Callithrix jacchus: one gene and its partners. The protein of the gene in region 1 purifies or fractionates together with the protein of each later gene. This does not show direct contact. Links are inferred from orthologs where the notes say so. Each region holds a gene or a part of one and is shown on either strand. Other genes may lie near its edges.

The links. The genes of interacting proteins can lie anywhere in the genome.
Region 2: the proteins of CLSTN1 (region 1) and KLC1 purify together in Homo sapiens (co-immunoprecipitation; 3 studies listed by BioGRID and IntAct, with this or other methods). This does not show direct contact. The link is inferred for Callithrix jacchus from reciprocal best matches to the Homo sapiens genes CLSTN1 and KLC1.
Region 3: the proteins of CLSTN1 (region 1) and APBA2 purify together in Homo sapiens (affinity purification with western blotting; 3 studies listed by BioGRID and IntAct, with this or other methods). This does not show direct contact. The link is inferred for Callithrix jacchus from reciprocal best matches to the Homo sapiens genes CLSTN1 and APBA2.

What each region holds. Positions count from the first base shown.
Region 1 is NC_133508.1:47,685,384-47,690,040, reverse strand, and holds the start of CLSTN1 (calsyntenin-1), read left to right. Parts: upstream 1-1,509; 5' UTR 1,510-1,740; coding exon 1,741-1,831; intron 1,832-4,657. Other genes in the region: uncharacterized protein LOC144576928, read right to left, coding at 779-1,085, 1,280-1,440. UniProt on the Homo sapiens protein: Postsynaptic adhesion molecule that binds to presynaptic neurexins to mediate both excitatory and inhibitory synapse formation.
Region 2 is NC_133509.1:138,479,759-138,483,757, forward strand, and holds part of KLC1 (kinesin light chain 1), read left to right. Parts: intron 1-3,182; coding exon 3,183-3,291; intron 3,292-3,999. UniProt on the Homo sapiens protein: Kinesin is a microtubule-associated force-producing protein that may play a role in organelle transport. The light chain may function in coupling of cargo to the heavy chain or in the modulation of its ATPase activity.
Region 3 is NC_133507.1:7,394,119-7,398,117, forward strand, and holds part of APBA2 (amyloid-beta A4 precursor protein-binding family A member 2), read left to right. Parts: exon of another isoform or gene 1-885; coding exon 886-1,098; exon of another isoform or gene 1,099-2,494; coding exon 2,495-2,614; exon of another isoform or gene 2,615-2,742; intron 2,743-3,999. UniProt on the Homo sapiens protein: Putative function in synaptic vesicle exocytosis by binding to STXBP1, an essential component of the synaptic vesicle exocytotic machinery. May modulate processing of the amyloid-beta precursor protein (APP) and hence formation of APP-beta.

The DNA of each region.
Region 1 (4,657 bases):
TAAATCAGTCCTCTGTGCCCCACAAACCAGTCTCCACCACCCCCACCTAGAGCAAAGACATTCATGGATAGCTCTTCCAGCAGTCTCGAAAAATGAACATTTTAGTGTTCAACTTTTTGCCGTTGGTGTCCATCTACTGTGAACATCCTGACCTTGAGGGCTGATTCTTTCCACAATAGTTGTCCCAACGAGGGAAGTCATTTCACCTTTCTGACTTAGTTTCCTCATCTGCAAAATGGAGCCAATAGTGTCTCATAGGGTACAGTGCCGGCACACACGCCCTTCCACTACTGTTCCAGGCCTTTCCTCCACTGTGGAGAGTGCCAGGGGTCCTGCAGAGGAGGAGGAGGGGACCCCAGGACACTGGGAAAATGGGAGGACCCTCAGATCCCTGTAGGGATCCACGGTAGATGGGGAGAGCTTCTTTGTCCTCTCTCTCTCTTTTTTTTTTTTTTTTGAGACCGAGTTTCACTCTTGTTGCCCAGGCTGGAGTGCAGTGGTACCATCTCGGCTGACTGCAACCTCTGCCTCCGGGTTCAAGTGATTCTCGTGCCTCAGACTCATAAGTAGCTGGGATTACAGGCAAGCATCGCCACACCCGGCTAATTTTTGCATTATTAGTAGAGACGGGGTTTCTCCATGTTGGCCAGGCTGGTCTCGAACTCCCAACCTCAGGTGATCCGCCTGCCTCAGCCTCCCAAAGTGCTGGGATTACAGGCGTGAGCCACCTCTTTGTCCTCTGTATCCATACGGACCCCCGCATTTCTAAGAACCAGCATCACAGTATGTCACTGAGAAAGAGCGCACATAACAGCCGCCTTTGGAAAGTCACAAAGATTTCTTCAGTGAATTCTGGACAGATTCTCTGGGGGCAGGATCCAGGGCAGGAGCCGGGGCGGCTCGTGCTGCGCGGCCCTTGACTGTTTGCCAGGCGCAGTTCGCTGGCCTCGTCTCCTGGACCCCCTTTCGCGACCCCTCTCATCCCCTTACTGGGCAGAAGAGGACCCCGAGGTTCTGGGAGGCCACACGACCTGCCCGAAGTGACTCGGGCCCTGGGCCGCACTCGCCAGCCGCGGTCTGCGCTCCTGGGGGAGAGAGTGGGAAGGATGAGTCCTCGGTGTGGAGGAGGAGGCGCGGCCCCAGGGTACCGCTCGCCTGGCCTCAGGAGCCCGGGAGTGAGCGCGGGGATGCGGAGATGAGGCTCTCGGGCGGCGGCCGGGGAAAGGGGTGCCGACCCCCGGGCCCCACCGCGGGCCCCTCCCGGCCGCTTGGAACTCACCCCAGGCGCGTGCCCGCGGGTGCGCGCTCCAGACGGGGCCGACGGGCTCGGAGGCGCGCGCTCGTTCCCGGCTCCGCCGCGCGCGTTCCCTCCTCTCCCGCCCTTCCCGGGCCCGCGCGCTCCCGGGGTCCATCGCGCGCGCGCCTAGCGTCGCTCCCCATCCCCGCCCCTCCCGCCGCCACCCCGCCCCCGGCCGGGTACCCTTGCCGGACCCGAGAGAGAGCGCCGCCGCCATCTTAGTTGCTGCCGCTGCCTCCAGCAAGGCGCTTCTCCGAGGCGGGGAGGGCGGCGCGACCCGAGCGCGCGGCCCAGCGTCACGGCGGCGGCGGCGGCTCCTCCTCGGACCCCGGAGCTCGCCGCGCCACAGAGCAGCCGACCCTGGGCCCCGAGAGTCTTGAGAGCCCCGAGAGCCCCGCTGGGCGTCCCGCGCGCCTCCCTGCCGCTCCCGCCCCGGGCCGGCGATGCTGCGCCGCCCCGCGCCCGCGCTGGCCCCGGCCGCCCGGTTGCTGCTGGTCGGGCTGCTGTGCGGCGGCGGGGTCTGGGCCGGGCGAGGTAAGCCCCGGGGCCGGGCCAGTGCAGGATTCGGGTATGGGTGCGGGGATTCTGGTCCGGGTGCGGGAGTCGGGCCAGATGCTGGGATTCCAGCCGGGATGCGGGGTGTCGGGTCCGACCACAGGGAGTCGGGTCGGAGAGTGGGGTTCAGGTTGGGGGTCGGGCGCGCGGGGCCGGGCGCAGGAGATTGTGGGCACGCGCTGGGGGCGCCCCGGCGAAGCCAGGCTGGGTCTCGGGCGGGGCACCTGGGCCTGGGCAGCCCCCACTGCAGCCCATGGTGATGGCTTCACTGATTTGAAGGGACGTGGAGACGGGCCGAAGGGTCAGTCCGCCCTGCTCTGCGGCGCCCGCAGCTGGGGCTGCACCCCTGGTGAGAGGCTGTGTGTACGTCTGCGCTGTGCTCAGATGTGCATCAGGCGGGGGGTACACGCACAGTTTTGGTGTGTGCTTACATAAGAGCCCACTCCTCCGCATCCCGTTTCCAAGATCCTGATTCTCTGCTGCTGCACCGCGGACACCACGACTTCGCCGCTTTCCGCCTCCTTCCAGGGTCCTTTAGACGTTGTCTGTTTCCAGTGGAGCCGAGGCTGAAACTTACTGCTTCCCTCCCACCTTTTCACCCAAAGGTGAAATCGTGTTGAGATTTGTGACCGCGGGCTCACCCAGTGTTAGAAATCTCCGTCTCTGCTACCCCTGGTGCCTTGGTGCAGTTTTTCTGTCCGTCGTTTAGACCATGGAGGGTTAGATGTCCTCTACGGAAACGAGAAACCCCTCTGGTTCTTTAGGATTGTAGGACCGAAATCATTTTATGGCTCGGGGGAAAGTAATATTTCTTGGGTAGTTTATTATTAGCTTTTAACCTTCATCCACTTAACCTTTAAAACCTTGCATGCTCTCTGATATTGACTGGTCTTGCCAACGAAAAGCTTACGCATTGCAGATACAGTATTTGCTTCTGAGTGGATCTTGAAATCGTAAACATTTTCCTTGGCGTTAGAGCAAAGTGATCTAGGTGTAGTCTGTAGAATCTGCTGTAGGTTTTAATCTGTTGTTTTGATTTTTTTTTTTTAATGAAAAGAAATTTTGGGGAGGATCGATAGAAATCTAGATGAAATGGTCATATTTGAATTTAGCAAGCTTTTACAAAATTCTTATTTTCGCTTCCCTGGCGAGACATAAGGAGAGAAGTATGGTGTTCACGAATTACAGGGCAGAGGCGGCAAATGCATCTTTTGTTCCATGCTTCTTTCTCCACATCGAAGATGATAAACTTTGAATACTACTTTTATTTCATTTCTAAACATTCTGTTGACTCTGTCTTGTTCAGATCTGTTACTAAGTATCTCATTGTTGGCCATTTGAGTTTAAAAAGTAACATCAAGTTAAGTTTGAAATGTTCTTTCCAGATGTGGGTTGGAGGTCTGAAAGTCTAATATATCCAAGAGAAATGTCAAAGTTTTGCTTCTCTTGGGGAAAACCCACACATTTCAAAAATATGTGCTTGGATTGGGTATTTTGGGAACAGTTTAAATATATTTAGTCAGTGATAACATTGCTTGTTAAAATCGGTGCTTTCTTAAATAGCACCTACATTTGTTAGTCATTATTTAATTACTTCGGTTACTTAAACAGCATACATTTCAGCTTTGAGGGTCTTCCTTACCCGAAACCTACAGAAATCTTGTGTGAAAGATGTGTTGACTACTTGAGTCATTTGTAATTTGCTTTCTCTAAGTTTTTCTTGGTGCAGTTACAGTACTTCAAGATTCTTGTCTTAAGAATAAAGACATTTACACATCAGTTATTTGGTTGCATTTTTTTTTTCCAGGTTTCAAGTAAGAAAATGTCTTGGAATTATACGAAATGCTTCTAAAAACAATTTCATTTTGAAATATAAGTGAATTTCCTATGTAAAATTTACAATTTGTGGAGACACTTTATTTGGGCTTAAGAGATGATCATTTCAACTAATATCTGAAGTTTTTTACTGCTGTAAGGCAGTACGACATGAACTCCTGTTCATACTCTAGCTACCTTTAATAATGTTAATATTAGATTACGTACAGACTGCTGGAGAAAATGATAGATTTTCTAATATAAATTGCGTCTTGAGTATTTTATAGAGATTCCCAAATTTCACTTTAATTGTAGCTATGGTTCTCAACATTGAGTAGAGCCAGATGCAGTGGCTCCTGCCTGTAATCCCAGCACTTTGGGAGGCTGAGGAGGGTGGATCACCTGAGGGCATGAGTTCAAGACCAGCCTGGCCAACATGGTGAAACCCTGCCTCTACTAAAAATATAAAAATTTGCTGGGCATGCTGGCAGGCGCCTGTAATCCCACCTACTTGGGAGGCTGAGGCAGGAGAATTTCTTGAACCTGGGAGGTGGAGGTTGCAGTGAGTCAAGACTGTGCCACTGCACTCCAGCCTGGGTGACAGAGCAAGACTTTGTCTTAAAAAAAAAAAAAAAAAAGAGTGGGCGGGAGGCGGTGGCTCGCGCCTGTAATCCTAGCAGTTTGGGAGGCCGAGGCTTGTGGATCACGAGGTCAAGAGATTGAGACCCTCCTGGTCAACATGGTGAAACCCCGTCACTACTAAAAATACAAAAAATTAGCTGGGCATGGTGGTGCATGCCTGTAATCCCAGCTACTCAGGAGGCTGAGGCAGGAAAATTGCCTGATCCCAAGAGGCGGAGGTTGCGGTGAGCCGAGATCGTGCCATTGCACTCCAGCCTGGGTAGCAAGAGTGAAACTCCATCTCAAAAAAAAAAAAAAAGAAGGGAGTAAACCAAAATATTAGAAGAAATATCTTTGGCATGCCCTGTA
Region 2 (3,999 bases), on another chromosome or scaffold:
TATTTTATTTTTTTGTTTATTTTTGAGAAGGTGTTTCGCTCTTGTTGCCCAGGCTGCGAGTGCAATGGTACAATCTCAGCTCACTGCAACCTCTGCCTCCCGGGTTCAAGCGATTCTCCTGCCTCAGCCTCCTGAGTAGCTGGGATTACAGGCATGTGCCAGCATGCCCGGCAAATTTTGTATTTTTACTAGAGGAGACGGGGTTTCTCCATGTTGGTCAGGCTGGTTGTGAACTTCCGACCTCAGGTGATCCACCCGCCTTGGCCTCCCAAAGTGTCGGGATTATAGGCATGAGCCACCACGCCTGGCCCTTAATTTTTTTTTTTAGAACAATTCTTTATTCACCACTATTGCCCAACCCCGGTCTTCCCAAGTAGGGAAACTAACATTTATGAAACAACTAATACATACCTACACTTCACAAAAACAATAGTCCTTCCAGAATGCTATCAAATATCACTGCCACTTTAAAGATGAGGACACTGAACATTAGAAAGGATATGCAACTTGAGCAAATGCCAGTCAGCTAAAATAGTTAGGCTAATTTTCAATCCAGAACTATCTTATGTATATCAGATATATCTGTATCTAAGATAAATGGGAATCTTCTCTGAACCCTGGGGAGAGATAAGAACGAGCATTTTAAAAAGGTTCACTTAAGAGACAGGATTTTACCATAACAGCACTGAAACTTTATAACTCTTATTTTTCCTGATTGCTTAAAAAGGGTGCCATGGTCAGGAATTTTCTTTGATACGGTTTCATAATTATATTCACTTTCTCTCCATTCTGAGACTTTTCTATAAGAATATTCACTTTAAGGCTGGGCGTGGTGGCGCAAGCCTGTAATCCCAGCACTTTGGGAGGTCGAGGCGGGTGGATCACGAGGTCAAGAGATCGAGACCATCCTGGTCAACATGTGAAACCCCGTCTCTACTAAATATACAAAAAATTAGCTGGGCACAGTGGCGCGTGCCTGTAATCCCAGCTACTCAGGAGGCTGAGGCAGGAGAATTGCCTGAACCCAGGAGGCGGAGGTTGCGGTGAGCCGAGATCGCGCCATTGCACTCCAGCCTGGGTAACAACAGTGAAACTCCGTCTCAAAAAAAAAGATTCTTTCCTTGAGTCTTTCCTCTGTAAGTTCTCTCCCTCAGATCATGTGTTCCTGGTGATCTTTAATTTGCATCTGTTCCCTCTCATTTATCTGCTTTCTTCTCTGTGTGTTCTGGATGCCATGCCCTTCTGTATGATTTCTGATAATTTTGTTTCATTAGGGGAGTCATAGTACTTGTCCAAATGATTTGTTCTTAACTTCTCTTGCCTGTGCTGTTTGATGTATGTGCCTTCCTGTGTGTTTCATCTGTCAGGTTCCTTCAGTGCTTTGGGTTGTTTTCCTTTCCATTTTTTTCTTGATTTCATTGCCTGTCTCTTCTAATCATTTCCACTCTTCTTTTATTATAATAAAACTCCGCTTTGGCAAGCTAATAGTCAAGAGAAAGAGCTTGCTCCCTACAGAGCATTTTATACTCCTCTTGCTATTTCTGAGTTACCAGTTGTCTTCCTGCTGTTGTATGCACACCACCCAGATCCAAGATCTTTTTCTCCAGTGGAGACTGCTGACCTGCATCAATCCAAGGATGTTTAGATGATGTAGCCCAGGCCAGTCCCTTCCAAGTGCGGTGAACTGTCCCCAAAGCACACGAGGCTGGTTGTGCTCTGCAGAAAGCCCATACTCGCCAGCGGGACCCAAGGAACACTAGAACATCCCAGAACATTCAGCTTTGTTTTTAACTACTGTGCAGCTGCAAAAGGGAAATACTGGCTCAGGACCGGGGAGTTGTAGTTCTCTAATCCAAAGAAATCAGTATTTGGCCAAGTACAGTTTTCAGGGGGATACCCCCCGCGACTGGGTTTCTGCAGGGTGTGAGACAAAGAGAATGAATACCGCAGGATGGGTACTGGTGGGAAAATTAGCTGGAAGCGCAACCTTGGTTACCAGTTTGGTGCTCAACATCTCATTACCAGGGTGAGAGTGGAGCCACAATCTGCCTTCGAGAGGTCGGGTTCCATCTCTCTACTTTTATTTAATGGCAAAACCATACAGCAAACTCATGGCAAGCATGCCAGCAGGTCTGGGAAAGCCAGCCCGTTACATGCAGCAGTGGGGACACAGATCCATACACACTCCTTTTCCTCACGGCCCTTGGAGCCTTGTCCTCTGCAAAGGGAAGTGTAGGCTCCTCTGCAGCCAGCCCGAGAGCCTTGCGTCTTGAGCCTGAGCCTGTGCAGACTGGCCTCTGTGATGGCTGCTGTCCCTGGGTCTGAGTGGCTGTCTTTCCACCCTTAACTTTCCTTATCCTTTAAGGCTCAGCCTACCATTCATCTCTTTTCAGAAAACTCTCTGAACCCTCTCCAGGGCTCCCCTAGCACTTGTCATAGATTAATTGTTTTAGAGACATAGAAGATAGCTTCTGTATTTCTATATCCAAAATGCCTATTGTAAGAAAGGGAAAAGAAATCTCTCAAAGTACTTATCTATGCTAAACTGAATCTACATTTATTTATAATTTTTTTTAGTAAGTCTTCTCCATCAAGAATGCAGAAACATCAAGCCCAATGATACAGTTTGAAAAATAAGAGAACACAGAAACATAGCTGTCCTCTCTGCCATCTGCTATGGATTGCTTCCCTGGTACATGAAGCATTTATTCTCTGCCCTCACTGCCCACTGATAGGGACATTCTGCTTTGCTCTATTCTCCCCCGTACTTGTGGGGAGATGGGAGCATGTGAGCAGCAACAGTCAAAGCACCGTTCCTCATTGCAGAACCGGCGCAGACCAAGCTCTGTCTCCAGGGAAAGCGTTCTGATTACCATACAGACCTAGCCACACATTTCTGTTGACAGAGTGGCCAGTGGTCTGTGAGAGCCACCTCAGCCTGGATGGAGTGTGGTGTTAGCCTGGCCTGCGGAGGCCTTTTACGGGAAGGGCCAGGTCATGGGAAGCAGAGCTGCTTGAGATGGAAGAACTCTTTAGAATTTTATAGTTCCAAAAAAGTATGAGAGAGTTAAAATATATTCAAGCCAAAACATCAGCCTTTTAGTCCTCTAGATTATGTGCCATTGGTAGTGCTTGTTCCAAAGCTGATATGTAATAGTTCTGTGTCGTGTGCTTTCTTACAGTCCAACTGTTACAACCACTCTGAAAAACCTCGGGGCACTTTATAGACGTCAAGGCAAATTTGAAGCTGCAGAAACATTAGAAGAAGCTGCCATGAGGTCTCGCAAACAGGTCAGTCATACGTGTGTCCTTAAGCAGCCCATGGGAACTCTGAGTTAATGGTTCTCATTTACATGACTTTTATTGAAAACTTGATTTAGAATAGAAAATGTCAGATATTTTAGTTTGAACAAATAAAGTTATACTGTTTAAAAGAGCATGAGGCGGGACACAGTGGCTCACACCTGTAACCCTAGCACTTTGGGAGGCCGAGGTGGATGGATCACCTGAGGTCAGGAGATCGAGACCATCCTGGCCAACATGATGAAACCCTGTCTCTACTAAAAATACAAAAATAAGTTAGGCATTGTGATGGGCACCTGTAGTCCCAGCTACGTGGAAGGCCGAGACAGGAGAATCACTTGAACCCAGGAGGTAGAGGGTGCAGGCAGCCGAGACTGCACCACTGAACTCCAGCCTGGGTGCCAGAGTGAGACTCCATCTCAAAAAATAAAAGTAAAAAAAAAATCGTAATCCCAGCACTGTGGGAGGCCAAGGTGGGGAAATTGCCTGAGGTCAGGAGTTCCAGACCAGCCTGGTTAGCATGGCAAAATACCATCTCTACTAAAAATACAAAAATTAGCCGGGTGCAGTGTTGCACACCTGTAGTCCAGCTACTCGGGAGGCTAAGGCAGGAGAGTTGCTTGAACCTGGGAGGCAGAGGTTGCCATGAGCTGAGATTGCACCACTGCACTCCAGCCTGGGTGACAGAGTGAGACT
Region 3 (3,999 bases), on another chromosome or scaffold:
GCTCCTTGCCTTCCCATGAGACTCCAGTGCAGCTCTGAATGTGCACCTCGCTCCTGCCTTCCAGCTGAGCACTTGCGTGTGAAATGAGGTGTTTGTAACAAAGAAGCTGATTACAGTCAGCTTTAATGACCTTGAAAATATGCCTTTTAATGCTGCTATTATCATCAGCTAGTGCTCAGCACCCAGGAGATAGTTCTGAAAGGCATGTGGGATCTCTAAGGGAGCGTGGGTGCTCTAGCAGGGGAGGCTGGAAGCTGCCAGCAGCAGAGGTGTAGTTGGTCCCAGTGGCTTCCCCTAGGTGTCTTTGGAAAGTTCTTATGGGACAGAGGAGCAAATACCCTGAGGATGGCCCATAGCTTAACTGTTTGTTGAACGGCTGAATGATTCTGTCTGCTGTGGATGAGTGGATGACGGCCTCTGCTGCTTGTTGAATGAGTGAATGCATGATCCGGGCTTCTTGCTGAAGGCATGCCAGCCAGTTCCTGTAGAAGGACTTTTCCAACAAGAGTGAAGGCGGGAGGCGGGGGCAAGACATGGGTGCTGGAGTCATAACGTTCCTCTGGCCTCGTGGGTATGGTGGGATGGGAGGAGCAGGAGCCAGGACACTGGAGCCCTGCTTGGGGCAGGACGGTCAGTGCTGGGCATGGTGGGGATGGGGTCCGTACTTCCAGGTTCCCAGGAGGGTGTGGGAGCCAGAGTGGGGTGAGGCTGGAGGTGGGTGGGCAGGGCTCCCAGCCCAAGACCTCTCCTGGCTGAGATGAGCCGGCCTTGGATCCCAGGGCAGGGTGGGATGTGCTGGGACAGGGTCAGCCTTGTCCTCCCATGGGTCCTTGGCAGAGGCCCTGGCCCCGCTGCCAGCCCCTCATACTGCCGATCCCTTTGCAGCTGCAGCTGGAGAAGCACAAGGGCGAGATCCTGGGCGTTGTGGTGGTGGAGTCAGGCTGGGGCTCCATCCTGCCCACGGTGATCCTGGCCAACATGATGAATGGCGGCCCAGCCGCCCGCTCAGGGAAGCTGAGCATCGGGGACCAGATCATGTCCATCAATGGCACCAGCCTGGTGGGGCTGCCCCTCGCCACCTGCCAAGGCATCATCAAGGTGGGTGCCCTGGGACCCTCTGCCCAGGGGTTGCCTCAGCCTCACCTCACTTGATCTGCAAACCCCCACTTCACTCATGGGGAAACTGAGGCCCAGGGAGACCCACCCAGTGAATGGTTGATGATAGCATCAAAATTTGAACTCAAGACCATTCTCCATGTCTGAATCAGAGGTGGACCCAGGCGGCCCCGGGGCAGGAAGGGAGGGCTTGTCTGAGCCCTCTGCTGAGCCATATGGCCCTGGGCAGGGACCCAAGGACCAGTGAGTTTGGGGTGACCAGCTTATCCTGTTCTGCCTGGGACTTCCCTAGATTATCACTGAAAGTCCCTTCAGTGCTCTTGGGTTGAGTGCCGGGACACAGGTTTCCTTAAGTAAGAAGGCCACCCTGATTATCAGACTCACGAGCTTGCAGCTTTGGGGGCTGACCGCCTGTTGCTGTGAGGGGTCAGGCAGAAGGGTCACTGGCAGGTGGGGTGGGGCTTTCACTGGCTGCCCACAGAGGAGTGGGCTCTGCCTGCTGCTGGCAGCTCCTGTGAGCCACCATGGCCTGACCCCCAGCCCTGAAGGTAGGGAGGCATGTTCCTCCCTACCCTGCTGTGGTCTTGGTGCTGGAGGAAACGCCTTCCTCCTCTCTGTTCAGACTGAGAGATGGAAGGGCATTCCCTAGGCCAGAGCATCCCATGGACCGGCTCTCAGAGCTGGCCTGGCAGAGCTTCTGCCTGATGGGCAGCCACACAGAGGCACGGGAGAGGCCTCTGCCAGCGGCATCAGAGGGCTCAGCGCCAAGCACCACCTGCCGAGGGCTAGAACTCCCAGGTGGAGGCTTGGGCTCCTCTCCTCCCTGTGCCTCCTCACCCCCTCCGGACCCCAGCAGCCTGGGGCACCCACTGATAGTTTCGTCCTCACTCACAGTTTCTTGTGGTCACCCCCTGCCCTGCAGGTCCGTCCTTGGAAGGCACGGGGCTTTGAGGAAAGTGTCCCACATCCTAATGTAGGAAGATCTCCTGAATGTGGATGATCATGGCCCGCCTGAGCACCCTGAGGGTGACCTGGTGCCAGGTGTGTTGGTTGTGCCCACTGGCACTCAGAGCCTGGCCTTGCTCCCACAGCAGCTCATCTTCCTCAGGGCAGAGGCACCCTGAGCATGGTGGGACAGAGGGCGCACAATGTCACCCTGGAAACCTGGCAGCCCTCCTAAGGGCCAGGGCAGGGCTCGCCACCCCCACCACCACCCCCGCCCCCCGCAGAGAGGGGCCACTGAGGCTGAGAGGGGACTGTGTGTCTCGCCCAGAGTGTGTTCTCACCGCCCCGGCCTCCACCCTGCCAGCCTCACTCCTCTTGGGTCGGGCTTGACGTCTGAGGCCCAGCCTGTGACTCCTGTCCCCGTGCTCTGCAGGGCCTGAAGAACCAGACGCAGGTGAAGCTCAACATCGTCAGCTGTCCCCCGGTCACCACAGTCCTCATCAAGCGACCAGACCTCAAGTACCAGCTGGGCTTCAGTGTGCAGAATGGCATTGTGAGTTCCTGTTTCTGCCCTGGGCCACCATCACCGCTACAGGGGTCAGGGAGGGGAAGCAGCTCCTGTCTGATGGGGCAGGACCCAGGCCACCAGGGCACACACTTTCCACGACTCTCTGGGAGGTCCTGGGTAGAAGGGGAAGACCAGGGCATGGCCATGGATTGGGTCCTCCAGCCTTTCCAGGTGCCTTTGGAGGGAGGGCAGCAGGCTTTGCCAGCCACTGTAGCTTGGACATAGCCAATCGTGGCTTCACTCACTGTGCTCAACAAACATGTTCACTCATTCATTCAGCAGACATTTGTGAAGTACCTGACCAAGCTTTGTGCCAGGCACTGGGGAGGCAGGAGTGCTGCCCGGAGGAGGTGATGCTGGGTTTGAGTGTGGTTTTGCCCAAAAACCTGTGCCAGTTCCCCGGGCCAAAGCTGTTTAGCCCAGAGTTGGCACCCTGTCTCTGACCTGCATTTGGGGCCTGGACCATTCTTTCCTTTGTTTTTCCTCCTGCAAAGGACCCAGAGGGCAGAGATATGGCCACTGAATGGAGTGAAAAAGAAAAGGGCTGGCAATACCCAAATTGTTTAACCAGCCCTGAGTATGAAGGAGCCCAGGAGGAGAGAGACTGAGGACTGGGGGCAGTGTCGTGGAGGTGACAGGAAGGGGTGTGTGCCCCCCGCAGCCATGGAGGAGACAGTGGGAGAACATTGCAAGAAGACAGGCACCAGGTCTCCTCCATCGTTTCCTGGTGAAGCGGTGTGGAGGGCGCCCCCACCATCTGGGTGGAGTCACAGGGCTTGGGTTTAGGCTCCGTTTCTGACCCTGCTGCATTAGAGCAGATTGGCTGCTATAAAAAGTCCCGTGAATCTCTATACACTGAAAGCATATTGCTAATGTGCAGTGGGGAAGGCGGGGCTGGGGCACAGAGAGGTACAGTGGCTGGCATAGCTTGCTGCTTTGGCAGCCCCCACTGGGTGCTCTGTGTCTGGCTGGCACTGCAGGAAGAGAGGCAGCCCAGAAGACCTCGTGAAGGTTTTCAGGGCCAGGGCGGAAGTGACCCTTGTCATTTCTGCCCACTGCTAACAGCCCACAGGCCAGATAGCTCAGCCATGGACCCACGGGGAGTCTGGGAAGGGAGAGCTACCCAGTGCTGAGGACCAAGAGGGACAGGGCATCGGCCAGTGTCAGCCATGCCTTTCCTGCTGTGTGACCCTCGGCAAGTCACTTGTGCTCACTGGATTCCCCTCAAAAGGTGCTTGTGAAGATCAGCTGAGAAAATCCGTAAAGTAGCGCAGGCTATCCAAGGTGGGCCCGAGGGTCCTATTCCCTGCCAAGGAGGAAGCCTTGTGGCCCCTGGACCTGGCACAGGTGCTGGGACAAGTCGTGTGCAC